2 linked regions of the Astyanax mexicanus genome follow. The main gene of each other region encodes a partner of the protein of the gene in region 2 in a complex. Links are inferred from orthologs where the notes say so. Each region holds a gene or a part of one and is shown on either strand. Other genes may lie near its edges.

Region 1 (7,513 bases), on a different chromosome or scaffold from region 2:
TACTATCACACTACAATTTGGGAGTTTTTTCTTTGGATTTTTTTTTTCAGACCATTCAACAAGCTGATTATCTAAAACACCACTGCTTTATCATGATGACTCAATGTGACCTACATAACGTTGCTCAAAGGCAACAAATGAAAAAAACCTTGTTGTAGTAAGCTTACAACAAGAAAGCAGGAATATAGTAAGAAAATAAATACACTTTTTTACATGTTTGCCCACTTATATGCCTTATTGTACTGGGGATAGATATTGTAGTCTTGTAACATTGTATTAAAAGTAAAATAAATACATAATGAACAAGATCAGCAGACTTAGCAGACTTAAATTTAGGATTTTATTTTTTTAAAGTTGTAAATATAACAATATATACCTCTGGAATATAATCAAGAGGAAGATGGATGATCACAAGCCATCAAACCAAGCTGAACTGATTGAATTTTTGCTGCAGGAGTGGCATAAAGTTATCCAAAAGCAGTGTGTAAGACTGGTGGAGGAGTGCCATGAAAGATGTATGAAAACTGTGATTAAAAACCAAAGTTATTCCACCAAATATTGACATTCCTTACTTAACCTACCAGTACACGCTCTGCTGGGTTATCAAGTCTGAGAAATCTGTTAAATTTCTACACATGGAAGAACATTTTAGGATCATCCTGCATAATCATAACAAGCAAAACCCCACCTTTGCTGCCTCCACGTCTCTCTTTCTTCCTTTAAGCTGCAGCCAAATCTGTCCATCCTGAGCTGTGTATGAATTCTCCTCCCCACCGATTCTCAACACCACCCCGAACACTCGCTCCACTGTGGGTTTCAGGTCCTGCAGAGCTCCCCGTAACACCCCAGGGCAGGTGAACTCATCCTCCACGTGCTGCTGCTCTCCTTCCATCCTATCCAGCCTTCCAGAGACAGCAGACAGAGCCATGACCAAGCGCTACAGCAGGAGACGATGTTCTGGATTTACTGGAGTGTGTAAAAAAAAGAAAAGAGAGACAAAATCAGAGAAAAAGAGAACATCACTCTTTTCAAACTGTTTTATAATAACTAAATACAAACACAGTTGGAGGGCCTGAGATTACAAATGGACAACATGCCAATTGATAGTTTAGTTGAGTTTATGAAGTCATACAAATCCATATCAACACTAATATAAATAGCCAATATGCTACACAACAACATGCTAGCCAACAAACTTGGTTTTGTCGGTCATGCTGGTCAACCAGCTTGGTCCTATAGGTCATACTAGCTAACAATCCTGGTCTTGTTGTTCATACTGGTCAACAAATTGTCTTGTTGGTCATAGTGGTCAACCAGCTTGGTTCTACTGGTTATGGTAGCCAACAAGCTTGGTCTTGCGGGTCATAATGGTCAACAAACTTGGTCATGCTGGTCATGCTAGTCAACAAGCTTGGTCATGTTGTTCATAATAGTCACTAAGCTTGGTTTTGTTGGTCATAATGATAATGATAATGATGTTATAATGATCAACCAGATTGGTCTGGCTGGCCATGTTGGTCAACAAACTTGGTTTTGTTGTTCTTAATGGTCAACACATTTTGATTGTTGGTCATAATGGTCAGCTGACTGGGCAAGCTATCCAACAAGCTTGGTCTTGTTTATCAAACAGCTTGGTCTGACTGGTCAAGCTAGCCAACAAGCTTGGTCTTGTTCATAATGGTCAATCAGCTTGGTCTTATTGGTCATGTTAGCTAGCAAGATTGGTCCTACTGGTTATGGCTGCCAACAAGCTTTGGTCTTTCTGATCATGATGGTCTACAGACTTGGTCCTGTTCCAACAAACTTGGTCTTGTAGGTCATAATGGTCAACAAACATGGATCACGTTGATTATAATGGTCAACAAACAGGGACAAACCAGCTTAATCATGCTAGTCAACAAGCTTGTCTTGTTGGACATAGTGGTCAACTAGCTTGGTCATGTTGGACATAGCGGTCAACCAGCTTGGTTTTGTTGGTCATAATGGTTAACCAGCTTGGTGAAGCTTCGTTGTACCAGTTGTCTAGCTTGGCCAGGTTCCTACACACCCTCCACTGGTCAAAGCTAAACTGATCTTCCAGTTTGAGCTGGCTATAGCTACTATAGAAGATAACATGTAGATATGAAGATATGATGTAATATATCAGGATAACGTTTAAATAACGTCATTTTGCCCACTTTTTTGACCAGTGGACACAGACACAACACATCCAGCCATAAAAATAATGAATTAAAGGATATTAGATGATTATCTCACCATGATCATGTGTTTAGACGGTATAGATCACCTGCTGGCTGTAGGTTTCGGTTACAGCTCTGCTGCTGGTGCTTCAGTCTTCCGCACTTTTACCCAGAACAGCAGATCTATCGCTCCAGATCAAATTTCAGCTCGGTCCAGTCCAGCAGAACCGGATCTCAGGAGAAGAACCGGCTCTGTTCTGTGTGATCCGGCGGTTCTGAAGCTTAATCCACTATTGTAAATGTATAAAAGTCCGTGTTCAGGCTGTAGGGGGTTATTATTGTTGACAAAATGAAACTTGGGGAACTCACAGTGGGCGGAGCCACAGGGCGGGGCGTCTGTACCGTAATGACCGTATATACGCGCCCCGCAATAACAGCGCTAAACCCAAAGCCTCCATTTCTAATTATAGACAATACTATGATAAATATCCTCCACCTGATACAGCGCACAGAACCATCCGGGCTAAAGAAACAAATTTACACCAAAATAACCGTCAAAATAAGAGTAAAACAGGGGTTTTGATGTAAACTACAAAAGGAGGTATTTGGATCTGCGCATGCGCCCAACAAACTGCCAGGGAAATTCCTCTGACGCACAACATTTCCTTCATGGTGGAGCAGAAAAGGCAAACTCTGACGATGTGGAAATTACTTATATTTATATATAGCAAAACCATACCAGGGTCAATATATAATATTTAATATACAGCTCTGGAAAAAATTAAGATCATTTCAGTTTGGATTCATATTGTGGGGAGACGGAATATATATATATATATATATATATATATATATATATATATATATATATATATATATATATATATATATATATATATATATATATAAAATTGGAAAAACTAATAAAAATCTAAATAAATTTTTTACTATACCAAAAAGGACAATATTAAATCATGTTTGATTTAGGCCTTAAATAGTCAGAAGATTAAAGTAATAAACATACACCGACCAAATATCAATATAACCATTAATTGTTATATGTAAATTTGCTCTGAATTAACAGATTAACACATATACACATATAGAGGAATAAATTTAACCTTCACTTTCTTCTTTTTATACAGTTTTCTGTTACGGGGAAGTGGTGTCTTTGCCATGGTTACAGTGCTGTCTGGGTAAGTTAAATAAATTAAATGAAAACCTCTTTTTAAAATACATTTTCTTAAAGTTTAGAAGATATATATTTAAAAAATAATAATAATTCTAATAATTCTATGGAAGCCCATTTTTTAGCTCTTGTACGATATGTTTCTTTTGATTGTTTTTCTTTGTTACAGACCCGTTTTGTGTGTGTGTGTGTGTTTTTTTTACTACTCTCTTGCCTTGCCCTCGTAGTTTTTTTGTCTGCTGTGGACATCTCCAGATATTCCATCAATCAACATGTGATTGACACTGGTATCAAACCTTCTCCTATTGGAAAAAAATTACTTTTGAAATTCACAATAAGCCCTATCCAAACGGAATTAGTTTCTCATGGGGTCCTGGGGTAATTTTGTCAATTTTTTTATTCCCATCCAGAACGACCAAGATTCAAGATTCAAGATTTTTATTGGCACGTCACAGAGTACAGGTGTACATGTGAGTGAAAAACTTGGGTGCAGATTCCCACCAGAGAACAATATTTACAAGAATAATCATAGAATAAAATATAATATAAAATAAGATATACCAATACCTTTACAGTATAAACCATGTGTGTGTTTTTCTCAGACGTCCTCTGAGAAAATTACAGGCTGAATTATCTACAGTTTTTCGCTGAACTCTGTGGTCCTCCAGTAATTTTAGTCCCGTCCGGATTTACATCTCTGAGTTTTGTCTCCTTGGGTTTAATAAAACAGCTATTTGTCCACTGCCACACACTGTATTTAAACTTTCGGCACACATTTCCACGGAAATCCACGTAAACCCAACAGCAAGTGAAAATAGAGGAGCTACTGAACGTGATGTTGTGTAACTGAGAAAGCCTAAAAACTCACTGGTCCTCCTGTATTTTTTTATTTTATTTTAGTCAGGCTGCAAGAGTTTTTTACTGAGTAGGAGTGTGAAATATTTTTCTCAGACATCTCCGTGAGAAACTAATCCCGTCCGGATAGGGCTTTAGACACTAAAATTATGGTATTTTGTATAATATTTTACCTCCAACATCTCTACTTCCTCTCAAACACATTGAACATATGATTAACCGAATCCAGCCCAGGGTTTAGTCACAGTAGGAACAAAGCTCTGGAGTGGATTATCAGGATTAACCTCCACCTCTGGAGTAAAAGACAGGGCTTCACGTCACATTTCCCCCGTCTGTTTAAGGAAGTGAAAGTAATAAAGACTTTACTGCTGCTGTTTTCTGTCTTTCTGTCGCCATTTCAGTACATATTACTCATTTTAACCACTTTTACACAGGCTTTCCTTCAGCATGGACGGGATTTAAACTGCCCAGAAAGAGAGAGAGAGAGAAAGAGAGAGAGAGAGAGAGAGGAAGAGAGAAGCACTCTCTCTGGGGAGTTAAACTTTTTCCACCCGGACTATGTTTAAGGTAAATTCAGTGCTACATTTTTAACCGTATTTACTCTAATAATGTACGGTTTTGTTAAATATCACTGATTTAATAATGTATCAAAAACCTTTATGCTTATAATGTGTCAGATAGCCTCATATAGATTATCTACACATGCTGAAACTCTGGATTTTTAACATTACTAGGTTTAAGGTTAGGTTTAGGACCAAAAGTAAAGGTCAAATTTAGCCTTATGTTAAATTAATCCATCTTGGTTTTAGAGGCGGGTATGTTGGGCAAACTATAGTACCAGACATGCACCAAAGTAGAAGGGTAGCATATATTCATTGTTTTCTATACACTAGTAAGTTAAGCATATCTATAGTAAACCAGAAAAAAATATTATGTTGTTTTTAGTACACTGGTATGTTGAGTATTCCTATACTAGACCAGAAATAAATGTATATGTTATGTTTTGTACTCTGGTATGTTGAGTATACCTATAAAAAATAGAAAAAAACACTGGTGTGTTGTGTATGTAAAAAAATAAAAAGCTGTGAGCTTTTAGTATGTGAATTAAATGTTTTTTTACTGAGAATTATGCCATTTCTCACTGCAAGAGACTCCAAAATATCAAGATAATTCTTTCCATTCATTCCAAGATTAAAAAATAAATAACCAATTCACTCTCCGTTTTCTTACCAAAGATTATTCTTGGATTAAATGAGCTTTGATGTAATTTACAGATTCTTAATATACATTAATTCACAGAAAAGCAAGCTTTATTATTCTCTGGCTCCAATTTAATTATCATTCCTACGCTTCAATAAGATGAAGCCACGGATTAGGATCTCAATCCCATGCCTTAATAAGTTGTGGCCATGCATTTTTAATTTTTTTTACATGATGTCACCCTAGGGCCCCGTATATACCAATACCAAATCAGAATGTTGTGTTTTATACACTGAATTTTGAGTATATTAATACCAAACCAGAAAAAACAGGATATTTTGTGTTTTGTTGTGATATATGGGACATAATTGATATTGTGATATATTGTACAGTTTTGATTAGATATATCGCAATAACAATATTTTGTCACATCCCCTAGTTTATAATTCTAAAATTCTGTTTGCTTTAAAATGAAACAGATTCCCCTGAGAAATGGAACTTGCTAGCTGCTCACTACCTGCTGTGATTCACAATGACAGTTTGGACTTCTGGCAGCTGATTGGTTGTGGTGGATTCGGAAAGATCTTCAGAGCAAAGCATCTGAAACTACGATTGGACGTTGCCGTAAAGTTATTACGGTGTGATGACGGGTAAATCTCTTGTAGTCTCATGTAAATGTCTAAATATTAATTTTACTACCATTGCTGACATATATGTGTAAATGCACACTAGGGTTGCAGCTATCGATTACTTTTGTAATCGAGTACTCTACTGAAAAATATATCCAATTAATCGAGTAATCGGATAAAACATATTTGCTTGCCTAAAGAGCAATTAAAAATACAAGACATTTCACTTAATAATGAATGACCAATTGGTTTTATTTTTAAATTCACAAAATAAGAGTTTCTCATGAGTTTGCTTTTTTCCCTTGCCGCTTCTCAACTAAAACCTCCTCCTCCTTCTTCCTGTGTGTGGGTGACGTAACTCTTAAGTGTGTTGTGCCGCATTAAAAGTAGTTAGCACAAAATACCATGCCCTGAGTTTTTACATTAAATAAACGATTCCTTGAGTCACAGAAATATACTTGATCAATTTTTTTAAAGTAATTGTTTAAGTGTTTCACCCCTAATGCACACACATGGCTTAACTAGAGCCTGTAGAAGAGATGTAATGTCAATAGAATAGGACTCTGTATCTGAAGCAGATAATTAAATATGAACCTATTGTCTCTAGTGTGGGCTAAAGTGATATATATCTCTCAGTATTGAGCTTGTGTCCCAATGCATTTGTCCATAATATACTGTAGATACTGACTCTGCCTAATGAAAGATATGCCGTATGATCTCTATCCTGGTCTTCAGCTCCAACTCTACTCTCCTCCGGGAGGCAAACCTGATGCACCATGGTGGGAACCCCTACGTCCTGAGAATTCTGGGTGTGTATGAAGGGCAACCTGAGGGTGAAGAAGCCTCTCAGTTCGGTCTAGTGATGGAGTACATGGAGAGGGGCTCGCTGGTGGACCTCCAGAGGGCTCTAAACGGACCTCCTCCGTGGTCTCTCGCCTTCCGCATCGCCCACCAGATCGCTCTGGGCATGAACTTCCTTCACCAGCTGGATCCACCTCTTCTGCACCTGGACCTGAAGCCCAGCAACGTGCTGCTGGACGACAGCCTCAACGCCAAGGTAATGTTGAATTATCCTGGTTAGAACTGTACCTGCTGGCACCTCTAGCCTGGATAGCAGATTAGATACATGAGGTTAGACATGGAGGTGTACAGGATTAGTATGGCATCCAGCAGCACATTTACCCACCCTGCCTTAGCCATAACTGCATCTGTCTCTAAAGTTTGGTAGAGGGGGGATTATAGTGTGGGGTTGTTTATTAAAAGTTGTGCTCGTCCCCTTAGTTCCAATTAAAGAAACTTTTAATGCTTCAACATACCAAACGATTTCAGACAATTTTATTCTCCCAACTTTGTTGGAACAGTTTGAGGACGTTTTAACATGACTACGCACCAGTGCACAAAGCAAGGACCATTAAGGCATGGATGAGCGAGTTTGCTGTGGAAGAACTTAAAAAATTCAT
Region 2 (7,599 bases):
AATTTGAGTACAACGCTTTGATGTCATCAGTAAGATAAAAGCTATATTTTTTATCTGAAACTATAATACCTGCCTATTTGTAGGTGTTATGTAGGTGAAAATGATAGGTTATGGTAAGTTATATGTATACAATGTTATATTGTAAACCTACAGAAATTCTGCCAAAAACAATAAACATATGTGGAAAAAATTTCGAATGAGAAGTGATACTACTGAGAAACACAGCCACCTATAGTGGAGTTTAGTAGCCTGATGTGCCTCTGCTGATTAGTAGAGATGGCACAGTCAGTTTGAGTTCAGTTTAACACTTTCTTTATTATATATAATATATATATATATATATATATATATATATATATATATAATACAGTGCCTCAAATGTTCTCTACTGAACAGTTGAGCAGAAGTTAAAGAGTTAGAGCGATTTTCAAAATGGAGTAATAGAGATTGTATATACAAGCTGCTAAAGTAAATCTCAGAAGATAGTATAATTCTTACACTTTTCTAAAACTGAAAAAGGCACTTACAATTCTTTTATTAAATAGCTAAATTAAACATTTGTTATTATTTTGGTTTCATATATAGAAAAATGAAATAATAAAGTTTGGGTGGAGTAATATGCCCTGCCTCTTACTTAACACCCTATAAATACCATCTACATAGCTTACCTAGCTTTGGCACCTCTACAAATAAAAAATTAAATAAAAAACTAAATTGTAATGGAGAATCACTCATGTATTTAAAGAATATTGAGTTGTTGTTCTTTTGTGCGACTTCTACATAAGGAGCAGGTTCTGTTGGTGTCTGATTAAACACTAGAAAAAATAAAGCTATATTGCTTTATTATAAACACAGCACTATACACCATATTAACTTATTGTTCACTTTTTCTAAGTGTAGCCATTTAGCCAGCAGAGTACAGCTGGGCTCTCCAGTTACTATGAACCTCTTGCAGCTCCCTCCCATAGCAAATAAAGGTCTGTAAATATAAAACATTATCTCCTTGTTTGTTTTTTTTCCTTTGTTTGTTATTTTAATAATTTTAGTAGTTGCTTATGTATTACGTAAGTTACACTGTTGTTGCTATTTTACTTTTTATTGCTTTTATGATTTCCTTGCATTAGAATCCTACTCTTGCATTTAACTATTTTATGTATATTTGTCATTATCTTATTTTTTTATTTAATTAAGTGCTGGCATTTTCTTTATCAATGTTATTGGCTTGGCTACATTGTAAATGAGGGCCAAATAAAGGGTTTAAATAAAGGTGGGTTGAGACCTCACCACACTGTGACATGTTCATTTTCTAGAGGAGAGAGACCAGAAGCCAGTGTTTGAGAAGAAGCCCCTGGTCTGGGAGGAAGATATGGAGCTCCACTCAAAGTTTCTTGACAGAAAGGTGTCAAATCATCATATTGATCTCATTTTGTTTTTCTTTGTTTCTACACCAATTATCCATTTTTTTAGCTTCACTCATTATATAGGACACATTGTAGTTCTATAATTACAGAGTGTATCCCTTCTGTTACTCTGCATATTTTATTATCCTCCTATTATCTTCCTCCAACACATTGCAGCTGTGATTTGTGTGGTGGGTCATTCTTGCACCATCCTGTGGACGGTGTCACTGCAGTGCTTAGAAAGACCCACCACCCAAATAACAGCTGCTTTCTGGTGGTCTTGTGGGGTCCTGACCATTAAAGAACAGGGTGAAAGGAGGATAATATATTATGCAGACAAACAGATACAGGACAACAGTCTGTAATTATAGAACTATAAAGTTTCCTATATGATCAGTGGAGCTGATGGAAGGACAGTGAGCGTAGAAACAAGGATGCGGTTGTAATATTCTGACTCTGGACTGTGTATATTCTACATAATACAATGTATTGAGATGTTATACACCAAGTAACACATTCTGCATATTTCTCGTCTTGCTCCACATATTCTCCATATTGCAGGAAGAGCTGAAAGCAGGCCACTCCTCTTATGTTAGAGATCATCCTGAGCTGAAGACGCTGCTGGCGGATTTTATGCAGTTCCTGCTGTTAAGGAAACCTCAGGATGTTTTCTCCTTTGCTCAAGACTTCTTTGCTCCCTTTGACTTTCAGCGCCCACCAGACAGCAGCTTCAAGACTTCTTGAACCATAAAGTTTTTTAAAGTAGCTTTACTGGAAGAAAAAAAAACTCATAACCTGTCAGGCCTTTATCCTGTGTGATGAGTAATTTTAATAAAGAGTTTCCATTTTGTGCTAGGTTTAACATTTTTTTGATGTGTTTTATTTTTTATATCCTATGGGATATATAACCAAAAAAATAACATTTATTTATTATAATTATTTATTATATTTTGTGTTTGTTAGAATCAAATGTTAATGTTTACATTTTTTAGGAACCTAAAGGCTAGAGCTAAGCAATATAGTAAAAAATGGTATCACGATAATTAAACATGTTTCAAAATACACACTGTTTATCACCATGTTTTGACATGCAGACAAAATGCTTCAACTGCAGATTATTATTTTATTTATTTTTTTTTTTTATATTATTTATTAAAAATAAAAAAAAACTCAGGCATAGCACCTTAATATACATTCAGTTTCTCACCATCCAATTAAACAAGACTAATTATACTCAGTCATAAAAAAATACAGTTGGGTCAGTGTTTAAGCTCTGAAGATATGCGTGATGTTGGTTTAAAAAATGTATCTCTGTATGATTAACATTTTTTCATAATGCCCTTCTCTACTAAAAGCATGTAATGTGGTGTGTGAAATCGGGACTTTTAATTTGAATTAAGTCCTCTAACCATTCTAATGGCTTAACCCAAACTGATTTTGTTAAAAGATTTTTCCCTATTAAATTCATGTAATCCATGTAAATTCAGATTGATAAGACAAAATAATAATAATAATAATAATAATAATAATAATAATAATAATAATAATAATAATTTGTTGAAATTAATGAAAACTTAGCTTCTCTATACTGCACCAAACGGAAAATAATAATTTAATTTTTACAGTTAATTTTCTATTTTCACGTTTAGCCTCAGAAACTGTAACTGCTTAATGTTACAATGATCCACGTGTGATCGAAACAGGTCCAACTCTGACCACAAACAGCGTCATTAATTTCTTTAGTTTAGTTAAATTACAGCAAACTAAGTTACACAAGTAACTCAGAAGCGAGTGCGTCACTGCGGGGTTTCCACTCCCTGTTCGGTTGTTTTAACTCTTTATTAGCCTCGGGATCTTATCGAAACTGAAAGTTGTGTCGGTCGGTGTGGAGTAATGTAGCCAGGTCTGATCTTCTCCGAGTAAACTAACAGATAGAAACGCTGTTTCTGGGGTTTTAACTGTGAGTGAACGTTGGCATCGCCACGAACTTCCGGATAAGGACCAGAGTGACCAGTGTCTAAATGTGAAGGTAAGAAATAATATAGAATTTCGCTTAGCGTTATTACAAACTTTCTGTAACTAGCAGCCAGGCCGGGTGTTCTGTCGAATTTGGCTACATTGCCCAAATGTGCTACTCTGCTGTATTGACAGACAACGCTGCCTAAATAAAGCAGTGGGTGGAATATTTTGGATGGACTGAAAGTATCATATCAGAAAATGCTCCCAGCTGAGGTATAAGATAAATATTTACTATTTATTTAACTATATAGTTATTTAATAACTATTTCAGGGTAATAAATACGAGAGGACTGATATTTTTTTTAAGTTTGAATCGCAATTTACACTTTTGTAACATTCTGCATTAGTAAATGTAAGCTAAAATTGTGAAAAAGTCCGAGGAAATCATAGACTGTGTATAGCGAGGAAATGGATCAGAAAGAATGGTAATGTAAAAAAAACGTTTTGGGTCTGCACATGCGCAGAACAGCTAAATAGCTCTTATCGTGGGGTAACGCAACTCGACAGAACACCGGAAGTGTAAACATAAGGCTAACTAACGCTAGCTAGATAGATGGTATACAACTCGAGGCAGGATTAAATTCCAACAGCGCTGTAGTTTATCTAATGTGTCGCTGATCCGGGCGGGTTAACACCGATTCTGTGCTCGATATTTCAGTGTCTGTAGAGCTGAAGTCTTTGGTCTGTGTTTAGCTTGGCGCTAATGTTAAAGTTACCGTAGCTGCGTCTGCTGTTTTTACCTTTTTCACAGTAGGTAAATTCAGCTCAGCTGGTAATTCAGGGAAAACATTCTGTAACAGGTGGATGGTTCATCCAAAAAAAAATAAATAAATAAAATAATAATGTTCCCCTAATCCCTAAGAGCCTGACCATGATCATTTTTCATATATATTCATATATATCATTATAATATTGGTATGCATGCATGTATGTATGTGTTTGTATGTATGAACTTTTAAACAAAACTAAAGAAATGTATTTTGTATTGTTGCGTTACATAGGTACATACCCATAAGTAAATGAAACATATGTAAAATTAATTTAAAAACTTCAGTGATAGTGCACTAGGGAAGGGTGGGAGGGGTTGCAAACCCTGGTGTCTTCGTGGTTGAAAAAGTATTGATAAAAGAGACAGTATGTTCTATTGGTGACTTTTCTTGTGATCAGTCTTTTACCGTCCACAGTCAAAATAGGCACAGCAAGTTTCCAGATCAGGTCCGTTTCTTGCCCAGTATGGAACTCAATACACTTCACATTATAGATGAGGAGCTGACAAAGAGTGAAGTGGCTGCCTTAAAGTTTCTGTGCTCAGATGTTATTTCTCGCAAGCGTCTGGAGAACGTGAAGGATGCCAAGGACCTGTTCCTGCGTCTGAGAGAACAGGCCCTGCTGGATGATCCTCGCTTCCTTGCTGAGTTGCTTTATACCATCCGTCGCAATGACCTGCTGACATTTCTGGGCACCAATAAAAGAGAGGTCAACAGGTGGCTTGCGATTTCTCCGTACAGGTAAAGGTTATCAGGTATTTGTTAGGGTCTGGAGCTATAATGCAATCGTATTAGTTATATAAATAAATCTGTACTTTAGTCAGTTTATTTTTTGTTTTGTTTTGAAAATTCAGATGTTATGTTTGAGCTCCCTGCTGTTGTATTATGATTAATGATTGCCAACTGACTGGATATTAAGGATAGTTTCTGAGATTTCTTCTTCTCATAGAAATCATGTATTCACATTACCAACACATGCTTCCTGTAGGAAGATGCTGTATAAACTGTCTGAAGATGTAACGGCTGAAAATCTGCGTGCCATAAAGTTCCTTTTGGATGGGTTGCCCAAAGCAAAGCTGCAGGACGCTGTGAGTATAGAGGTCTCCAGCAACATAAAACCCCTCATACAGCTCATTTGTTGTTTCTTTTGAAGTTTATTTTACTTATGTTGCAGTATCTCTTTGGGTGGGTGATATGCCTGCGTCTTAAAGGGAATGACTACTGGCACATTGATCACGTTACACACCCATGAACAATTAAAAGATTTAGAACACGCCTCTTGCGCTGTTGGAGCTACGCAAGGCCTACACAATACCAAAGACAACGGACACGCCCCTAAATCCAGCGGCGCAAAGTGCACTTAACTAGTTCACTATAGGTCGCTAAAATAGGGCCCTAAATGTAAATGAACAGTTTTAAACATTCAGTAGAAACAAAAATATCTGTAAACATTTACAGTGAGTCCAAGAAGTATTTGATCCCTTGCTGATTTTCTTCGTTGGCCCACTAATAAAGACATGATCATTCTATACTTTTAATGGTAGATGTATTCTTACATGGAGAGACAGAATATTAAAAAGAAAATCCAGAAAATAAATCTAAGGAATATATATTAATTGATTTGTATTTCATGGAGTGAAATAAGTATTTGATCCCTTAGTATTCATTAGCAGTTCTGGCTTTTACAGACCAGTTAGACACTCCCAATCAACTTGTTACCTGACCTGAAGCCACCTGTTCTCACTAATCACTTGTGTGAAAAACACCTGTCCACAGAATCAGACAGATCACACAGATTTCAAGTCTCCAACATGGGTAAAACCAAAGAGCTGTCACAGGACCTCAGAGTCAGAATTGTTGACCTTCACAAAGCTGGAATGGGCTACAAAAAGATTAATAAGGTGTTGGATGTGAAAGTAACAACTATTGGTGCAATTATCAGAAAGTTTAAAGAGTATAACATGACAATCAACAGACCTCGGCCCGGTGCTCCAAAGAAGATTTCGCCTCGTGGGGTGGCAATGATGCTGAGAACGGTCAGAAATCGTCCTGCAACCACTCGGCAGGAGTTAGCAAATGACCTGAAGGCAGCTGGGACCACAGTTTGCAAGGAAACAATTGGCAACACTTTGCGTAACAATGGATTCACATCCTGCAGTGCCTGAAAGGTACCCCTGCTGAAGAGAGCACATGTGGAGGCACGCCTCAAGTATGCCAATGATCATTTGAAAGATGAACCAAGTTATTGGGAGAAGGTTTTGTGGTCAGACGAGACCAAAATTGAACTTTTTGGCCTCAACTCCACCCGCCATGTGTGGAGGAAGAAAAATGCCGCCTATGACCCCAAGAACACTGTGCCCACCGTCAAGCATGGAGGTGGAAGCATAATGTTTTGGGTGTGTTTCTCTGCCAAGGGTACAGGGCTACTTCACCGCATCACTGGGAAGATGGATGGAGCCATGTACCGCACAATCCTGAGGGACAACCTCCTCCCCTCTGCCAGGGATCTGAAAATGGGCCGTGGTTGGGTCTTCCAACATGATAACGACCCTAAACATACAGCAAAGGATTGGCTCAAGAAAAATCACATTAAGGTCATGGAGTGGCCCAGCCAGTCGCCAGACCTCAATCCGATCGAAAATCTATGGAGGGAGCTGAAGGTCAGAGTTGCCAAGCGACAGCCCACCAACCTTCATGATTTAGAGAGGATCTGCAAAGAAGAGTGGGCCAAAATTCCCCCTGGTGTGTGTGCTAAACTTGTGGTTAACTACAACAAACGTCTCACCGCTGTGCTTGCAAACAAAGGCTTTGCCACTAAGTATTGAGTGTGTTTGGCAAGAGGGATCAAATACTTATTTTCCTCATTGAAATACAAATTAATTAAAATATATTCTTTAAAATTATATTCTGGATTTTTGTCTTGATATTCTGTCTCTCCATGTTAGAATATATCTACCATTAAAAGTGCAGAAGGATAGTGTCTTTTTATTAGTGGGCAAACAAAGAAAATCAGCAAGGGATCAAATACTTCTTGGACTCACTGTATCTGTTTCGACAGAAACTTATATAAAGATTAACACAATTATATAAAAATACCCTTATAGCTTTAAAGTAAATATCAAAAGTAATGCAAACAAAGGCTGCTTTTAAAACAGAATACTGCTATTAACACAGTTATAAAACAGTTCAGCTGCTACACAGAGCAATGCTGGGAGTTTTATATCCCTCTAGCCCATGCCTTGCATTAGGCATGGTGCCAATAGGTTCATGTTTATCTACTCTAGTCTACTCTAGTCTAACTATTTTATTTTATTATTTTATTGACAACACTTGCCTACAGGCACTAGACGAGCTGTGCGTGTGTGGATGCATTCACATTAGAAGAGGAGTTCACAAATATTTAGCCATATATA

Evidence for each region. Proteins that work in one complex are often made in the same cells at the same time.
Region 1: casp8 (region 2) and ripk3 share a complex: the UniProt entries of both Homo sapiens proteins name them as parts of the AIM2 PANoptosome complex. The link is inferred for Astyanax mexicanus from reciprocal best matches to the Homo sapiens genes CASP8 and RIPK3.

The regions. Positions count from the first base shown.
Region 1 is NC_064432.1:21,542,421-21,549,933, forward strand, and holds the start of ripk3 (receptor-interacting serine/threonine-protein kinase 3), read left to right. Parts: upstream 1-4,513; 5' UTR 4,514-4,574; intron 4,575-4,584; exon of another isoform or gene 4,585-4,658; 5' UTR 4,659-4,791; intron 4,792-5,903; 5' UTR 5,904-5,916; coding exon 5,917-6,074; intron 6,075-6,788; coding exon 6,789-7,110; intron 7,111-7,513. Other genes in the region: protein KHNYN, read right to left, coding at 689-928. UniProt on the Homo sapiens protein: Serine/threonine-protein kinase that activates necroptosis and apoptosis, two parallel forms of cell death. Necroptosis, a programmed cell death process in response to death-inducing TNF-alpha family members, is triggered by RIPK3 following activation by ZBP1.
Region 2 is NC_064412.1:41,337,051-41,344,649, forward strand, and holds the start of casp8 (caspase-8), read left to right. Parts: upstream 1-4,593; 5' UTR 4,594-4,652; coding exon 4,653-4,927; intron 4,928-5,174; coding exon 5,175-5,274; intron 5,275-7,599. Other genes in the region: ciliogenesis-associated TTC17-interacting protein, read left to right, coding at 901-977, 1,311-1,399, 1,962-2,144. UniProt on the Homo sapiens protein: Thiol protease that plays a key role in programmed cell death by acting as a molecular switch for apoptosis, necroptosis and pyroptosis, and is required to prevent tissue damage during embryonic development and adulthood.